2 linked regions of the Callithrix jacchus genome follow. The protein of the gene in region 1 purifies or fractionates together with the protein of each later gene. This does not show direct contact. Links are inferred from orthologs where the notes say so. Each region holds a gene or a part of one and is shown on either strand. Other genes may lie near its edges.

Region 1 (8,579 bases):
GTGAATGTACTGTATGCCACCTAGTTGTACACTTAAAATGGTTCAACGTTATGTTATGCGTATTTTATCATGCCAAAAAAAAAACTATCTGAAATATTCTGATAACCATTCATTCACCTGAACATTTCAGGTTAGACACAACTTCATTCATTCCACAAGTCTTGACTGAGGACTCACTACCTGTGATCCAGAACTTCCCCCTGAAATCCATTTGGAACCGCAATGCAATGCAAAGAGTATGCCTGCAAGGATTCTGAAACCGAACCACGATTGGATCTCAGCTCTGTGACTTTGAGATTCCCAACTCAGAGTAATAATCACTGACTCTTAAGTTTCCTTGCCTGTAAAACAAGTACAATATTGAGTTGATCCCGGGGTCGCAATGAGGATTAAAATAGAATGTATGTAGAAGAACCTGAAACATCTTAGCATATAACAAGGAGGCACTTAATAACATGTTGCCCTAATCTCCTTTGCCATGAGTAGGTGGAAACTGCCATGACGTGGCAGGCTCACAAGTGAGAGAATGTCTACTAAATTTATCTACTTTCTCAAATGAAACAAGCACCACACGTGTCAGATAGTGGTAGAGGATAAAACATGTCAATGCCATAAAAGTCATCCTCTGTAGAAGGTAGCACTGCAAGTACTGTACAGCCCACTATATGACGCCACAAAATCACTGTCAAATAAGAATCATGAGCCACATCAAAAGAAAATGTCTTCTAAAACCAAGATAATAAAGCTCAATAAGAGCCCAAACAACCCAGTTACACAACACACACACTGAGCCAGAGGCAAAATACAGCAGTCAAGGCTTACCCTTCAAAGATAGGATGGAAGCACAAAAGGAAAAGCAGGCCCTTACTATAAAGAACAGTAGGAAGATGTCTTTTCTTAAAAGAGCATTTTGGTGCCATGAGTAAACCTATAAACCTATGTTACCATGATCGATGTTTATAGCAACCATCTTAAAATTTTTGGTTTTGAGGAATGATCCAAGATGGCTGATCACTAACATCTCAGGATTGCAGCTCCCAGTGAAAGCGCAGAGAACGGAGAACGCCACACTTCAGACAAATTTTTGTCCCTCACGGAGCAGAAGATTCCCAGTGGAGGAGCCGCACAGGCCACCAGCGCGACTCTTGTGGCCGGCGCGGCAGCTCTTGGTGCAGAGTAAACGGGACTGGTTCCCCTTCTGACCGACAGTTGGAGCTCAGGGAAGGCAGAGTCGCCTATTACGGACTCAAGAAGGAAGCCAGACTGGAGATTCCCGGGCAGAAAAGCACCATCAGTCTTAACCCCGCTGTTTTGGCCGGCGCAGTGGGTTGCTCATATTTCGGCCCTGGGAATTCACAACTTGGATGTCCACTCAGAGACCTAATTTGAAAGTTGGTAATTACAAAGATGACAGGTGGATAAATTTACAATGATGGGAAGAAACCAGCGTAAAAAGGCTGAGAATACTCAAAATCAGAATGCCTCTCCCTCTAAAGAGGATCACAGTTCCTCATCAACAAGGGAACAAGGCTTGATGGAGAACTAGCGCATCCCATTAACAGAATCAGGCTTCAAAAGATGGATAATAAGAAACTTCTGTGAGTTGAAAGAACATGTTGTAGCCCAATGTAAAGAAACTAAGAACTTTAAAAAAAAAGGTTTGACGAAATCCTAATGAGAATAGATAATTTAGAGAGGAATATAAGTGAGTTAATGGAACTGAAGAATACAATACGGGAACTCCGAGAAGTATGCACAGGTTTAAACACTCGAATTGATCAAGCAGAAGAAGGGATATCAGAGGTCGAAGTCCAACTTAATGAAATAAAATGAGAAGACAAGATTAGACAAAAAAGCATAAAAAGGAATGAGCAAAGTCTCCAAGAAATGTGGGACTATGTGAAAAGACCAAATTTATGTTTGATAGGTGTACCTGAATGCGATGGAGAGAATGAATCCAAGCTGGAAAATATTCTTCAGGATATTATTCAGGAAAATTTTCCTAAACTAGCAAAGCAGGACAATATTCAACCCCAGGTAATACAGAGAACACCACAAAGATATTCCTCAAGAAGATATTCCTCAAGAAGGCACATAATCATTAGATTCGCCAGGATTGAAGCAAAGGAGAAAATACTAAGGGCAGCCAGAGAGAAAGGTCAGGTTACCCACAAAGGGAAACCTATTAGACTTAGAGCAGATCTCTCAGCAGAAACTCTACAAGCCAGAAGAGAATGGGGGCCAATATTCAACATCCTTAAAGATCAGAACTTTCAGCCCAGAATTTCATATCCAGCCAAACTAAGCTTCAGAACTGAAGGAAAAATAAAATCTTTTATGAACAAGCAAGTACTCAGAGATTTTATTACCACCAGGCCTGCTTTACAAGAGCTTCTGAAAGAAGCATTACACATAGAAAGAAACAACCAGTATTAGCCTTTCTAAAAATGTACCAAAAAGTAAAGAGCAACGAATGGATAAAACAGCCAGTTAACATCAAATGGCAGTAATCCTAAATTTAAATCGACTAAATCCCCCAATCAAAAGATACAGCCAAAACCCAACGGTATGCTACATCCAGACCCATTTCACATGCAAGGATACACAAAGACTCAAAACAAAGGGATGGAGAAAGATCTACCAACCAAATGGAGAGCAAAAATAAATAAATAAATAAAAAGCAGGAGTTGCAATTCTTGTATCTGATAAAATAGATTTTAAAGCAACAAAGATATAGTGGTAAAAGGATCAATGCAACAGTGAGAGCTAATGATCCTAACACCCATATACATAGAGACTTAGACTCAATGAGACAGAAAATTAATAAGGATATCAAGGACTCGAACTCAGATCCAGAACAAGTAAACTTAATAAATATTTATAGAGCTCTCCACTTCAAATACACAAAATATACATTCTTGTCAATACCACATCACACCTACTCATAGGTTTAAATGAAATATTGATTGGCCATTATTAATACCCATTTTTTTTTTAGAATAAAGCAACATTTCCATTCTCTCTCCCTCTTTTTCTTCCTTTCTTCCTCTCCTTCACTTTTTTCCTTTCCTTCTCTAAAAAAAAACATAAATAAAAATAAAGTAAAATAAAATTTTTAGTTTTTTAATCTATTGAGTTTTAAGGAATATGCCCTAAAATGAAGCTTTGAAGTAACTGTGTATGTACTGTATGTATACAGCACATATTCCATATAATATACACGTCTCACAGGTGTTTTAAAGACTTTGCAAAATAAACTGGCTATTCCGGAACCTAATTCCCAAAGAAATCAGAAATATCCGAACTTACTATTCTCTAGGACCTGGCTTATCCCAAACCCATCTTTTAATAGACGTAGTTTTTTGGTTAGGATGCATATTTTTATTTAGAAAACTTAATGTTTACACCAATACATTTTCAATATAGCTAACCTGTTTTAAAAAGCACATTTTTAACAATATTTTCCGAGTTACTTAACTCCTAACCTGAGGCCTTTTCCACTAACTGAAAACAAGCGCCAGGGAAAATACCTGACAATCAGGACTACAAAGACTCATACTATTCGAAGACAGAAGCGCAGACGTCCAAGTGATCCTCTTTCATCAAATGAATGTTTGTAAAACCTGAAAGTCCTAAGAATACTTGAACTTATCGTGTAGATCAGAAACGTGTCCCTTTAACCACAACTCTCTCCACAAAAGCACTGAGTGAATTCTACAGACCAAGGACCCTCCACTCCTCTCCACGTTTCCGTGGATCACTCAGTGGTTTGCGAGCTCTGACCCCCAGGCAGAGCCGTCAGGGCAACTCAGCTTTTCTGGACAATCTACATAAACCTGATGTGCCAACTTAAAACATACACTGATTTCCCCAAAATCAAAAACCCTGAAGACTCCTCCTCGGGGTCTAGGCACAAAAACATCTGAGGGGAGGGGCAAAAGAATGGCCTCGGCCCCGGTCTCCCGGGCCCCGATCTGGTCCCCTGCCAGTAATCACACTGGACCCTCCTGGGGGGACCAAGAGCCAGGCTTCGTTCCCTGCGGGCACGGCGCAGCGGCCCGGTCAGAGAAGGGCCCGAGGGTGCTCCGGGTGGCCAGGCGCGCGGCTCCACCTCCGCTGCTCCCGTGCCACTTTCGCGCGCGTGACGGGACCTGTCAAGAGCCCCGGGGCCTCGCCAGGCAGGGAAGTGGGCGGGCGCCAGCATCCCCTGCCACGCTAAGGCGGCCCGGAAAGTCTCCCAGGGCTGCCTCGCGGGAAGGCGCCGGGGTCAGGGCCCAGGAGCAGAGCCACGGCGGGCAGACGCCGGGCCCACAGGCCGCACCGCGCGGGAGGACGAGGCAGGAGAGGCCGCGGTGTGTGCCAGCGGCCGCCAGGCCCGGACGCGCGGCTGGGGCCCAGGGCAGGCACGCGGGCCTCGGCGCGGAGGCGGGAGCGCGGCCGACTAGCAGCTCCCCGCCCCGGACACAAAGCTGCTCCGCGGGAGCCCGCCTCACCTGCAGCACGGGGCGCCACGGCCCTTCGAGAACCATCGGACCCCGCTCCGGCGCGCACGTCACAGCCCAGGCCTCCCGGAGCCGCCCGGCGCCGCCGCCCCCGCCGCCATTTCCTCGCGCTCGCCGTCGCCTCGTCCCCGCTGTCAGGTTACTCCATTCACCTGGGCCTGCAGCAGCCTGCGCCGCGCTCCGCCTCGACCCCTCCCGCCGGCGCCTGCGGAGACTGCGCAGCGCCCGGCTGGCCCGCAGCCCGCGCACGGCCCGCGGCAACGGCGCACAGCCGCTTGGAGAATCCCACCGGCGCCCGCGCCGCCCCTCCGTACACCCACGCTCCGCTCTCCCCGTGGCGGCATGAGAGCAAGCCTGTGATTGGACAAAGCGCGGCGGTGAAAGGTTAATCCCGGCCCTCCAGCCACTCAGGAGCAGGGAGACAGCGGGCGCGCGCGCGGAGGCGGAGGCGGTGTTTGCGGCCCAGCGCGGTGACTGGACCCTGCAGTTCTTGCCGCCGCGGCCGGGAGTCTTTGCGGCCCTCGGGAACCCGCGCGCCGAGGCTGCGGTGCCAGCTAAACTTGGCGGACGCCCCGGGCTCTCGGAATTCGACTGCCTCCATTGTTGCTCCTCCTGACACTCATAGACCGTAACGCGGCCGTAGTTGTTCCCCGGAGAGGTTAGCTCCCCTCTGACCACCTCCCTCCCGTCTTTAAAGGACCGTCCCACTGCCCTGCGCTTCCCCGCCTTAGTGGTGCGGGGGCCTCCGCATTTGTAGTTTGTGAAACTACAAACACCCGCTTTCGCTCCCACCCCAACTGGGATCCTCAGATAATGAGAAATAGACGGTGGCCCTGTGTATGTACACTGTCCATTTGCATAGGTCGGAACTGTCTACCACATCTTCTAGTAGGAATTATAAAATATCGGTGGGAGCTAAGGAAGCGGCTGGCTTAAAGAACATCGTCTTAATTTATGCCCAAATGTAGACATCTCTTCAGTGGACTCCGTGATGGGTCGGTTCGCTCCAGATGAGGTGTGGTGGGCTTGAGCGACCACGTTTGAGCCCTTGGGCGTGAGCAGAACCTACTGTGTGCCCGCGGTGCCTGGGCTGCACTTTCCAGTTTGGGGCCATCAGCCCCACGTGGCTCCTGAGCGCTTAAAGTATGGCTAGTCCGAATCGAGGTGTATGTGTTCTTTACCAAATCATGTTCAGCATCTCATTAATTATTCTATTGTTACATGTTGAAGTGACCAACTTTTTTTGATATATTGGGATAAAAGTTTCATTTTACTTTTTGTATTTTTTTAGTGTGGGTTCTACAAAATTGTAAATGCCATCTGTGGCCTGCATTATATTGCCATTGCGCAGGCTGACCTAGGGTTGTATGCCTGTGATCCTTATGTGCACCCTGTAAGGTAGGTGCTGTAACTGCTTTTTTTCTTTCTTTCTTTTTTTTTCAAATGGAGTCTCGCTCTGTCGCCAGGCTGGAATGCAGTGGCGCCATATGCAATCTACACCTCCTGTGTTCCAGCAATTCTCCTGCCTCAGCTTCCCAAAGTAGCTAAAATTGCAGGTGTGCACCACCACACCCAGCTAATTTTTGTATTTTCAGTAGAGGTGGGGTTTCACCATATTGCTCAAGCTGGTCTCGATCTCCTGACCTCGTGATCTGCCCGCCTCAGCCTCCCCAGAGTGCTGGGATCACACGCGTCAGCCACCGCGCCCAGCCTGCTTCCTGTTTTCACAGATGAAGAAAGGAATAACTTCCAGCAGGTAAGTACACAGTAAGTGAACAACTGAGATTGGAACCCAGGTAGTCCAGCTTTGAGGCTGGTGTGCTCAGTCATTACTGTGCTAAAATTTTGATAATGTATTTCCTATGAATTGGCCTGAAGTTTGACCTGAAGTAGCATATTCATAGGCAAAATTAGGGAGTAGTCAGGATTCTTCTGGCAGACCGATGTATCAAAAAATAGTTTCTTATATATCAAGCACTGTGAGCATGTCATACCTATAAGTCCCCAGTCATACATATAAGGCTTTCCGGAGATAATCCTTTATGAGAAGGACAGCATCTCACTGTGGGGGCAGGCACTGGGCTCTACCAGCAGTGGAAATTTGTGGGCTGGTACAACTCCAGCCCCTCTGGTTGTCCTCTCACAATATGTCAAGACTAGTCAGGCTTCTCCATCAGCAGGTCCATCTGATTTTTTATCAGTTTCAGTTCTTATTTTTAAAATAAGTAGTACATCCATATTGTTCATTTATTAGAAATTCTATGAGACACACAGTGGAAAAAGATCTCCCTCACACCAGTCCTCTGTCACAAGTAGGTGACTGCTGTTTCCTGCTCATTCTTCAAAATGTTTATGTATATGAGAATCACTCCTTGTGTTCCTTGTTTACAAAAATGCCAGCACACCATACATATTTACTCCACCTTGGTTTTTTTTAACTTAATATATCCAGAGGACATGTTTATTATAGCAATACGTACAGAGCTCCTTGATATTTTTTTCAACCCCCTTAACATTTTATTGCAGATATATCCATACCATAATTTACCAATTCTCTATTGATGGACACTTAGACTTTAAGTCTTTTACAATTAAATGTTGATCCATTTGGAAAAGATTTCATATATAGGGGGAGGTATGGATCCAATTAATTTTTTTGTCCAGATGGCTACACAGTTGTTTATTGAGTAGTTCACTTCTGGAAATGGCCTATCTATTCATGCTTCCCTCGCTGGTTTGTTTTAATTCCAGAGACATAAAACTCTGTAAGGGATATTGTTTCACACTTTGTTTGGATCACTAGAAATCTTAGAGCTAATATTTCAGCCCATGTATAGTATCATGTATATTTCAGCAACAGTATAGTATCATGTGGTATGCATTTTCTATGGGCTAATTTTTATTTTCCCTTAGCCCCAATTATTTCCACAGTTTGGTTTCTTTTTGTAGAACAAGCCGGGATTTAAATATACCTTTGTTTAAGACTCTCTGTTTGCAAGTAACAGAAACCAACCAGAACTAGCTCAATCAAAAAGGGAGAATTTATCCTAATGATGTAGGTGCTTCTCACAAAAGCCAGAAACAGGAATACAGCCACATCTTAGCAAAAACTGGAACCAGTAATTGGAAAGCTTTCAGGAACCCAAAAGGTACTCTCTGTGCCCCTCTGCTGTGATTGTTTTCTATGTATCTCTACTAACTTGTTCTGTCTGCTTTAACATCTGTATGGGAGAATATAGCCACTCCCATTTTGGACTGGGCTGTCAGCTCAGTGGGGAGTCTGAACCCAAACAAGGAAGGTAGGGCAGCAGCCCTGCAAGGTCAGACAGCTGATTACACATAGGAGAACTACACAAAGAAAAACTATGTTGAGGGTAATGGGAGCCAGATTTCTCGCTGTTGAAGAAGGGAGTTACAAGTACTGAAATAAGAAAAGCAAGACATTTGTGTGATTGGATTGGAATTGGAGATAGTCATGGAAATTAATGTTCTTAATACATGTAGATGTAAAATAAATGTAAAAGTGTATATATGTATATTTTGTGAGATTTTGAAATACATATTTGATCTTTGACCTTATTTTCTGGTTTACAACTCCTAAATTTCTTATACCAAAGTGATGTCTTTTGTATGCTAATGAGTTGGCTGGTGGCTGGAATCCCCTAGGTAGCTTTAGGATGGGGTTGGTCATCAGAAAGACCAAGGCAGGATCAGAGAGTTGGACCTTCAGCCTATCTCCAACTTCTTGGAGAGGAGAAGGGTTGAAGGTCAAGTTGATCACCAGTGGGCAACAGTTTAATCAGTCATGCCTTATGTAATGAAGCCTGCATAAAAACCCAAAAGGACACAGGTAGAGAGCTTCCAGATAGCTGAACAGGAACCATGAAGGTTCTTGGGAGGGAGATGCACCCAGGGAAGGCATGAAAGATCTGAGCCCCTTCTCCTGTCTCCTCCTATGTATCTTTTCTTCTGTATTGTTTATAATACCCTTTGTAAACGTAAGTGTCTCCCTGAGTTTTGTGAGCTGCTCTAGTAAATTAATCTAACCCAACTGGAGGTCGCGGGAACAACAACTTG
Region 2 (7,874 bases), on another chromosome or scaffold:
TAGGATCATTATTGTAAGCTAGGATCATTATTGTAAGTCAGCTTGCCACCAAGTGACTGATTGGTCTTCTTGAGGAATAGGCACTCAACATTGCAGCATTGGTCTCTGTTGTTAGTAGGCTGAAAATTCTGCAGTGAATATAACTAGATCAGCCTCCGTGTATAGAAGCCCATCCTGTTAGGTCTATTACATAGTCTCCAATCCTGCCACAGTAGTTATTCCAATGCCAGATGCTGGATGTTATAACCTGTTACTGACTTGTTAAGGGCCTTTTCTATTACGGACACTTTGTGGTATAGATCAAGTGCAGTACAAAGCTAACACTTCATTCCCACTCTCATGCCCATCCACCATTTTTATCTCAAATCTCTTCGTTCCCAGTAATTTAGTCTATTTTCAGGCCCCTGATCTCACAGCCAAGCCAGTTGCCATTGCCCATATATATTCTAACCCTGAGCCCCTTTCTACACAAATGGATGGCGAAGTATACTGCCTGAAGATCTGCCCTTTGGGAGGACTTTTCCTTACAGTTGATTTTCAAGGCCACCCCTGACAGAGTAATAAAGACACCATCTATTTTCAGTTTGCCAAAATATAAACATGTCGGTGAAGTTCATGCATTTTCCTCTTTCATCAACTGGTCATATGGGATCAGTGACAATAGATACAAGCCAAGGGAGAAACACCGGTGCAACAGTGGCAGATGACATGGGAGTCTAGGCTGCTTGCTAATGCAGTATACCGTGTCCTCTGCCTATGTTTGTGTTCTGCATGTATAGAACCCAGCTCATGATCAGTGGTCTTGGCTGCATGGCCACTTGGCATCCCTTCGTCAGGTGCTGTATCTCTATAAAAGCCCAGTAGCATATGAGCAGCTGTTTGACTAATTATATTGGTTAAGAACTTTAACAGAGGGCTAAACAAAATGGTGTTAAAGAATACACCTGATGGTCCAAGAAAATCCCTAACTCCCTAGAAAATGCGGATAATCTGAGAGGTGACACTGAAAAGTGTCTGTAAGAATGCATGTTCCTCCAGAGCCAGAAGCAGGAAAAGCAGAGGCAGCAGCAAGTTTATCTTCTGGGCACCTTATCCTGAGACCTCATTTTATCAATACATATGGACTGTCTACAACCAAGTGATATTATCCTTTTCTTCCACTGCCTTATGAAATCTTCCCCTAGTTTATCCAAGTCAGCATTTCACTATGCAGAAGAGTCAAATGTCATCTCTAGAGAGTTCATTTTGCTCCCTATATCCAAGACCATTTACTAAAACCTTGGTTCAATCTTTAAAAAGTCACAAGATCCTATTATGCCTAGCTTTGTTTCCAATCTTTTAAGTCTATTCCTTAACCTTGCCAAAAAAAGTACCTAAGTTTCTATGGTTTGACAAATGGAGCTTAGAATATGGAGCTATGTAAGTGCTCTTTAGAATTTAAAATAAGTTACATGTACTGGTTTTCCTTTATTTTGTAGTTTTGTTCTCAAAGAATTCCAGATATCATTTCTTTACAGGCAAAAATACCTTCTATATACTTCCTTCTGTATGAATACATGAGACCTACCTTCAAATTTCCTCTATGAAGCTTTCTCTGATCTCCAAACACAGGGCTGACACTTCCACTTAACTTAGAAAGCTAGCACGAGCTGGTACTGACAGGTGGGAAGACTTGAGATGTTACAAGAGGATATATGGAAACACGAAAGGTAAAATTAAAATCTGTTCATTAGACTTATTCCCTAACCTGTTAACCACTCTTCCCTTTAGAACATTTTTGCAATTGAGCAAGCTGGGAAGGTTTTTTGGGTAATTCTACTGATGCTTTTTTTTTTTTTTTTTTTTTTTGAGACAGGGTCTCACTCTGTCACCAAGGTTGGAGTGCAATGGTGTCATCCTGGCTCACTGCAGCCTTGATCTTCTGGGTCCAAGCAATCCTCCCACCTCAGCCTCCTAAGTACCTGGGACTAAAAGTGTGCCACCACACCTGACTGATTTTTTGATGGGGTCTCACTATGTTGCCCAGGCTGGTCTCAAACTTTTGGTTTCAAGGGATCTTCCCACCTTGGCCTTCCAAAGAGTTAGGATTAATAGCATGGGCCACTGTGCCTGGCCAAATGCTTTTTAAACTAATAATTCACCTGTGTATGGTTATGTCAAAGAAAAATACAAGGTTGCATAGGCTTAGAAAAAGTAAGGAAGTAACCCATTATATGTATGTTTGTAAATTTTGCTTAGGCCATTGTTTTTTATTTTCACCTTTGATTTTTAGAAGTAAATTAGAGCTATATAAATAACAGAATATCAACATTAAAATGTTATTCATAACAATGGCTAACAAGAACAGGGTGACAGTCAAGTCAGTAGCTTTTTAATAAAATGAGAATCCCATCATAACAGCTCTTTGTTACATGAATTCAAATACACAGCAGGCTAATCATGTTCCCTGAAATTTAACAATCATACTTAATAAAGGCCTGTTAGTGCTGTCCCTCAAGACTCTAATTCTAAAGGGCTTCCTCTGAATTCCCTTTACAAAGCTTTGTGCAAAGAAGAGCTTAAGCACCAGTAAGAAAGACTGTTGCTAGCATTTTTATTTCATTATCATCAAATACAAACATGCAGTTTCTTTCTCTGATGTGCATGGCACTGTAAAATGGGTGCTACACTCTGTCTTGTGGTACAAAGTTTATAAATACAATATACCGATACAAAGTTGAAGCCGTTAAAAAGAGCTTAATAACAACTACGAGGACAGAGTTAAATCTGGAGTGTTGATGGAATCTATGGAGTGATTTAAAAACAAGACATAAACTCAAACACTATGGTAAAAGTTTTTACTTGGGACGAGGCAAGAGGGGAACTTTTTATGTACTACTGAAGGATTTTTTAAGTTGCTCCAAGTTTACTTTCTTTCTGCTATTATCTTTAAATACTGCAAAGCATTGTGAGCTGCATCACTTTGTGCATTGCCACAGGAGATACCGGAGCCGTGACAGACCGTGATGGGGCTGGTGGACAGTTCAGCAAGACACTGATACTGTCCGTTGGCGCTCAGTTCTTCTGTAATGACACATTCAAGCACGATGGTTAATGTCAAATATGTATAAAGTAGATCCCTTTGTAAAAACAATTCTTATTTTCTTTTTAAGCATTCACTTGAAATCTTTGTTTTGCTTGTACAAACAAAAAACCACAACTGCTCAGCTGTAGCAGTTTTCAAACATACTGTATTTCATAATCATCTGACAACTTTAAAGAAATACAGATATTTAGGCTGCACTCTAGCTCACTCAATCAGAAACATAGGGTTGGGGGTGGCTGATTCCTACATTTAAAAAAGAAGAAAGCTCCCAAGGCAATTCTAATATGGTTAGTGGAACAGTGTTTGGAAATTACCGAACCACAGTAACTTTCTCAAAAGACAAAGAACCATGTGCTAGAGGACTGGAGAGACTGTATTTTCCACTAGGGTCATTTTCAGGAGGCATTTGAACCAGGAATAACTTGGGTCAAGGCAAAACCTTCCCTGTGCCTCCCTTGTGTCTATTAGAAAAAAAAGTTTTAATTGATGCATAATAATTGTATGTATTTATGGAGTTGTCCGTTCATGTTGGTAGGTTTTGAGTCTGTGCAGAGTGTAGTTCTTTATACTGTAAATGGGTCACGGTGTTTTAAAAACAATACCTGACCCAGGAAACAAATGCTCTTCCCATCAACTGATGAGTCACTCTTACTAAAGATGACTGAAATGAGGGCAAGGGGGAAGAAGTAGAAACGTGTGGTATGATTTAAAGTAGGCATAATAAAAATGTTAATTTTGATATTCCATTTAGTGGAAAATATCCAGAAACAATGGGATTATTTAATGAGTGAAAAGGCTTTCTAGTTCTAGTATCTAGGTTATTTTATTTTCTTAGAAAAATTAATCATTTTAAAGTAAGCACTTCAGTGATATTTCCTATTTGCAATGTGCACAACCACCATCTCTATCTAGTTCCAAAATATTTTCATCACCCCAAGCGGAACCTCATTCACATTTAGCAGAGGGTCCTTATTCTCCCGACCCTCCAGCCCCTGCTTGAGGTTCATCCATGTTGCAGCATATAACAGAACTTCATTTCTTTTTACTGGCTGAATAATATTTCATTGGAAGGAGAGTCCACAATTTGTTTATATTCACTGATGGACATTTGGGCCTGTTTCCACCTTTTGGCTTTTGTAAATAGTGCTGCTACGAATATACAAATATCTGTGTGTATAGGCGTTTGTTTAAACACCAGTTTTTGTTTATACCGCTAAGTAGTGGAGTTGATGGGTCACATGGCAATTCATTTGAGGAACTGAGAAGCTTTTTCCACGGAGGCTGAACTGCTTTATATTACCACAAACAATGTATAAGGTTCCAATTTCTCTACATCCTCACCAACACTTGCTATTTTCCACTTCCTTAATTATAGCCATCCTAGTGGATATGAAGGGTTATCTTACTGTGGTTTTGATTTGCATTTCTCTATTGACTAATGATCTTGAGCATCTTTTCATGTGTTTTTTGGTCATTTGTACATTTTCATTTTATTTTAAAATTTTGAGACAGGATCTTGTTATGTTGTCCAGGCTGGTCTCAAACTCCTGGGTTCGAGTGATCCTCAGGCCCAGTCTCCCAAAGGGCTGGGATTACAGGTGTTAGCCATTGTGCTCAGACCATTTGTGTCTCTCCTTTGGAGAATATCTAGGTTCTTTTAAAGAGAACTGCATGAAACTAGCCAAATTAACAGACTGTGGCTTTTAGACTGCTTTCCATATGTGTAAGAACTATTTAGTTCTCAAAAGTAGGAAGAAATGTTTCAAAAGCATCATTAATTCATAATCTAAAAATGTATTTCAGGTTTCCTTTTTTCCCTAGATTCTGTATCCTTCCTAGTCCTATTCATGACATGGCTCGTTCATCTCTGTATTCTAAACCCGCAGCAGATTGCAGACACTAATAAATATTCATTGGATGAATGGTCTCTCATCAGCCACCTTTTCTTTCTTTCTTTATTTTTGAGATGGAGTTTCACTCTGTTTCCTGGGATGGAGTGCAGTGGCATGATCTCGGTTCACTGTAACCTCCGACTCCTGGGTTCAAGCTGTTCTCCCACCTAAGCCTCCTGAGTAGCTGGGATTACAGATGCATGCCAACATGCCTGGCTAAGTTTTGTATTTTTAGTAGAGATGGGATTTCACCATGTTAGTCAGGCTGGTCTCAAACTTCTGACCATAGGTTATCCACCTATGTATGGTCAGACACGGGCGTGCCTTGGCCTCCCAAAGTGCTGGATGCCTGACCTCTTTTAGTTCTTTTTTTTTTTTTTTTTTTTTTTTTTTTGAGACAAGGTCTCACTCTGTCACCCAGGCTGGAGAGCAGTGGCATGATCATGGCTCACTGCTGCCTCAACCTCAGGGGCTTGAGTGATCATTCCCACCTCAGCCTCCCTCGTAACCAGGACTACAGGCATGTACCACCATGCCCAGCTAATTTTTCATTAGACACCTTTTCTAACCATCTGTTTGCACTGACTTCCCAGGTTTTACATCATTCTTGGTTTACTAAGACAATGCACTTAACCCATCCTTCAATCCCAGAGTAGCAGAGATTATCAGAAGTTCTTTAAGCCTAAGTGCCCTACTTTCCCAGGACCAGGGGGCCCTAACAAGCAAGGTCCCCACATCTCACTGTGGTTGGATAGGGATATAAAATTTCTCACACATTATACTGATGTTAAATCAAGATACCTTGGCCAGGCATGGTGGTTCACACCTGTAATCCAGCACTTTGGGAGGCCGAGGTGGGCGGATCACTTGAGGTCAGGAGTTCAAGATCAGCCTGGCCAACATTGTGAAACCCCGTCTCTACTAAAAAGAAAAAATTACTTTTGGGAGGCTGAGGTGGACGGATCATGAGGTCAGGAGTTCTAGACAAGCCTGGCTAACATGGTGAAACTGTCTCTACTAAAAATACAAAAATTAGCTGGGCGTGGTGGTGCATGCCTGTAGTCCCAGCTACTCAGGAGGCTGAGGCAGAAGAATTTCTTGAACCTGGGAGGGAGAGGTTGCAATGAGCCGAGATCATGCCAGTCCAACTCCGGCCTGGGCAACAGAGCAAGACTCCATCTTGGGGGAAAAAAAATACAAAAATTAGCCAGGTGTGGTGGTGGGTGCCTGTAATCCCAGCTACTTGGGAGGCTGAAGCAGGAGAATTGCTTGAACCCAGGAGGCAGAGGTTGCAGTGAGCCGAGATTGTGCCACTGCACTCCAGCCTGGGCAACAGAGCAAGAGTCTATCTCAAAAAAGAAAAATAAATAAAGATACAAAACATTGAATTAAAAGAAAATCCATACTGACTTGCTTTTCCCTCTGTCCATATTTGTCTATCCAAATGATTAAGGGCTACAGAAAATACAGATGATGATGGCTAGGATGAGATTAAACTATAAATTGACTTGTCTCCACTTACCTCCCAGAATTGGCATACAGTGACCAAGTAGAGAGAAAAGGTCTGGGCACCACAAAGTTGGTACTTGTGCTAGGAATCTGGGTGCCTTTTCATTTGCCCAGCAGCCCATCTGGGCTAGTTTAACAGCCAGGGAATCTGCGGGGACTCTCCCCCTAATCTTGCTCTACCACTGACTAGCTATGTGATCTTCAGCAAGTTTCTCAACCTTTCTGTGCCTTTCTTTCTTCACTTATAAATAAGGGTAAGAGAACTTGCTTCATAGAGTTAGTCTGAAGATTCAGTGAGTAGATACATGTGATCTCCTTAGAACAGTGCCTGGCACATAGTAAAATTCTATCTTTGCTATTATAACTATAGATGTTAGCTATTATTACTGTCCATAAGAATGGGACATATCAATTACATACATTATTGGCCTAGTAATTATATATACTTAGAATCCCTGATCAATAAAATACATTATAATAAATTTTTGTTTCTCAAACACACTTTTAAATGAACATGTCTTAGGAAAGCCAAAGAAAAATAAAATCATACCTATATCCAAATATGTTATATTAAAACCTTGTTCCTTGGCAATTTCACTAAGCAGCTGGATGTAATCTGTATTTGGAATACTAAGGAGACTTCTTTTCAGTAAGTTGATCTTTTCACCAGGAGAATTCCTCAAGGAATGCCAAGTACATCCTAAAGAATGTCCTACTACATTTGTCTGAAAAACAGAGATAAAGATTTAGACTCTTAACTAGGACTGGGTTCCAACAACAGTACCAGTATAATTAAACGTACTTATTAAGCACATTTAATATGTTAGACAACATTAAAAAGCACGCATTTAGGAAATACTACAATATATTAGAAGCACTTGCAATAATACACTGAAAGTATTTTGTATTTTGTATAGTACAAATGTTTCTCAGTCAAATTTTCTGATGGTCACATTAAGAGGTACAAGATATTTGGGAGCATTAATCCACAAATAATTATATCTGCCTAATGGGGCAATTTGCAGATTAAAATATTAAACAATTTTCATCTTTTTTAAAATTAAATACCAATCACTGTAACTGACAGCTATAAAGCAGAAAACAAACAAACAAACAAAATGTAAAAAAACCATGAAATGTGCAAGTTGGGTTTGAGGAACAAGTCATTCAAATAAATGGCAGGATATCAAAAAGTTCTTATCAGACTTCTATCCTAGAACTCCACTGAGTATTTTTTCCTTTTTCTTTCTGCTTTTCCTCTTTTCTTTATTCTCTCCTATTTCCTTCCCTTTTCATCTCTGTCCTTAAAATTCCTTATATTTCCTTAAGTTTACGGTTCTCAAATTGCTTTCACAGGCCATTAATAAAAACAACTACTTTCTGAAGTA

What was found. The genes of interacting proteins can lie anywhere in the genome.
Region 2: the proteins of DICER1 (region 1) and PRKRA purify together in Homo sapiens (co-immunoprecipitation; 4 studies listed by BioGRID and IntAct, with this or other methods). This does not show direct contact. The link is inferred for Callithrix jacchus from reciprocal best matches to the Homo sapiens genes DICER1 and PRKRA.

The regions. Positions count from the first base shown.
Region 1 is NC_133509.1:129,971,236-129,979,814, forward strand, and holds the start of DICER1 (endoribonuclease Dicer), read right to left. Parts: upstream 4,815-8,579; 5' UTR 4,655-4,814; exon of another isoform or gene 4,494-4,654; intron 1-4,493. UniProt on the Homo sapiens protein: Double-stranded RNA (dsRNA) endoribonuclease playing a central role in short dsRNA-mediated post-transcriptional gene silencing.
Region 2 is NC_133507.1:49,618,892-49,626,765, forward strand, and holds the end of PRKRA (interferon-inducible double-stranded RNA-dependent protein kinase activator A), read right to left. Parts: intron 7,212-7,874; coding exon 7,037-7,211; intron 3,064-7,036; coding exon 2,906-3,063; 3' UTR 2,577-2,905; downstream 1-2,576. UniProt on the Homo sapiens protein: Activates EIF2AK2/PKR in the absence of double-stranded RNA (dsRNA), leading to phosphorylation of EIF2S1/EFI2-alpha and inhibition of translation and induction of apoptosis.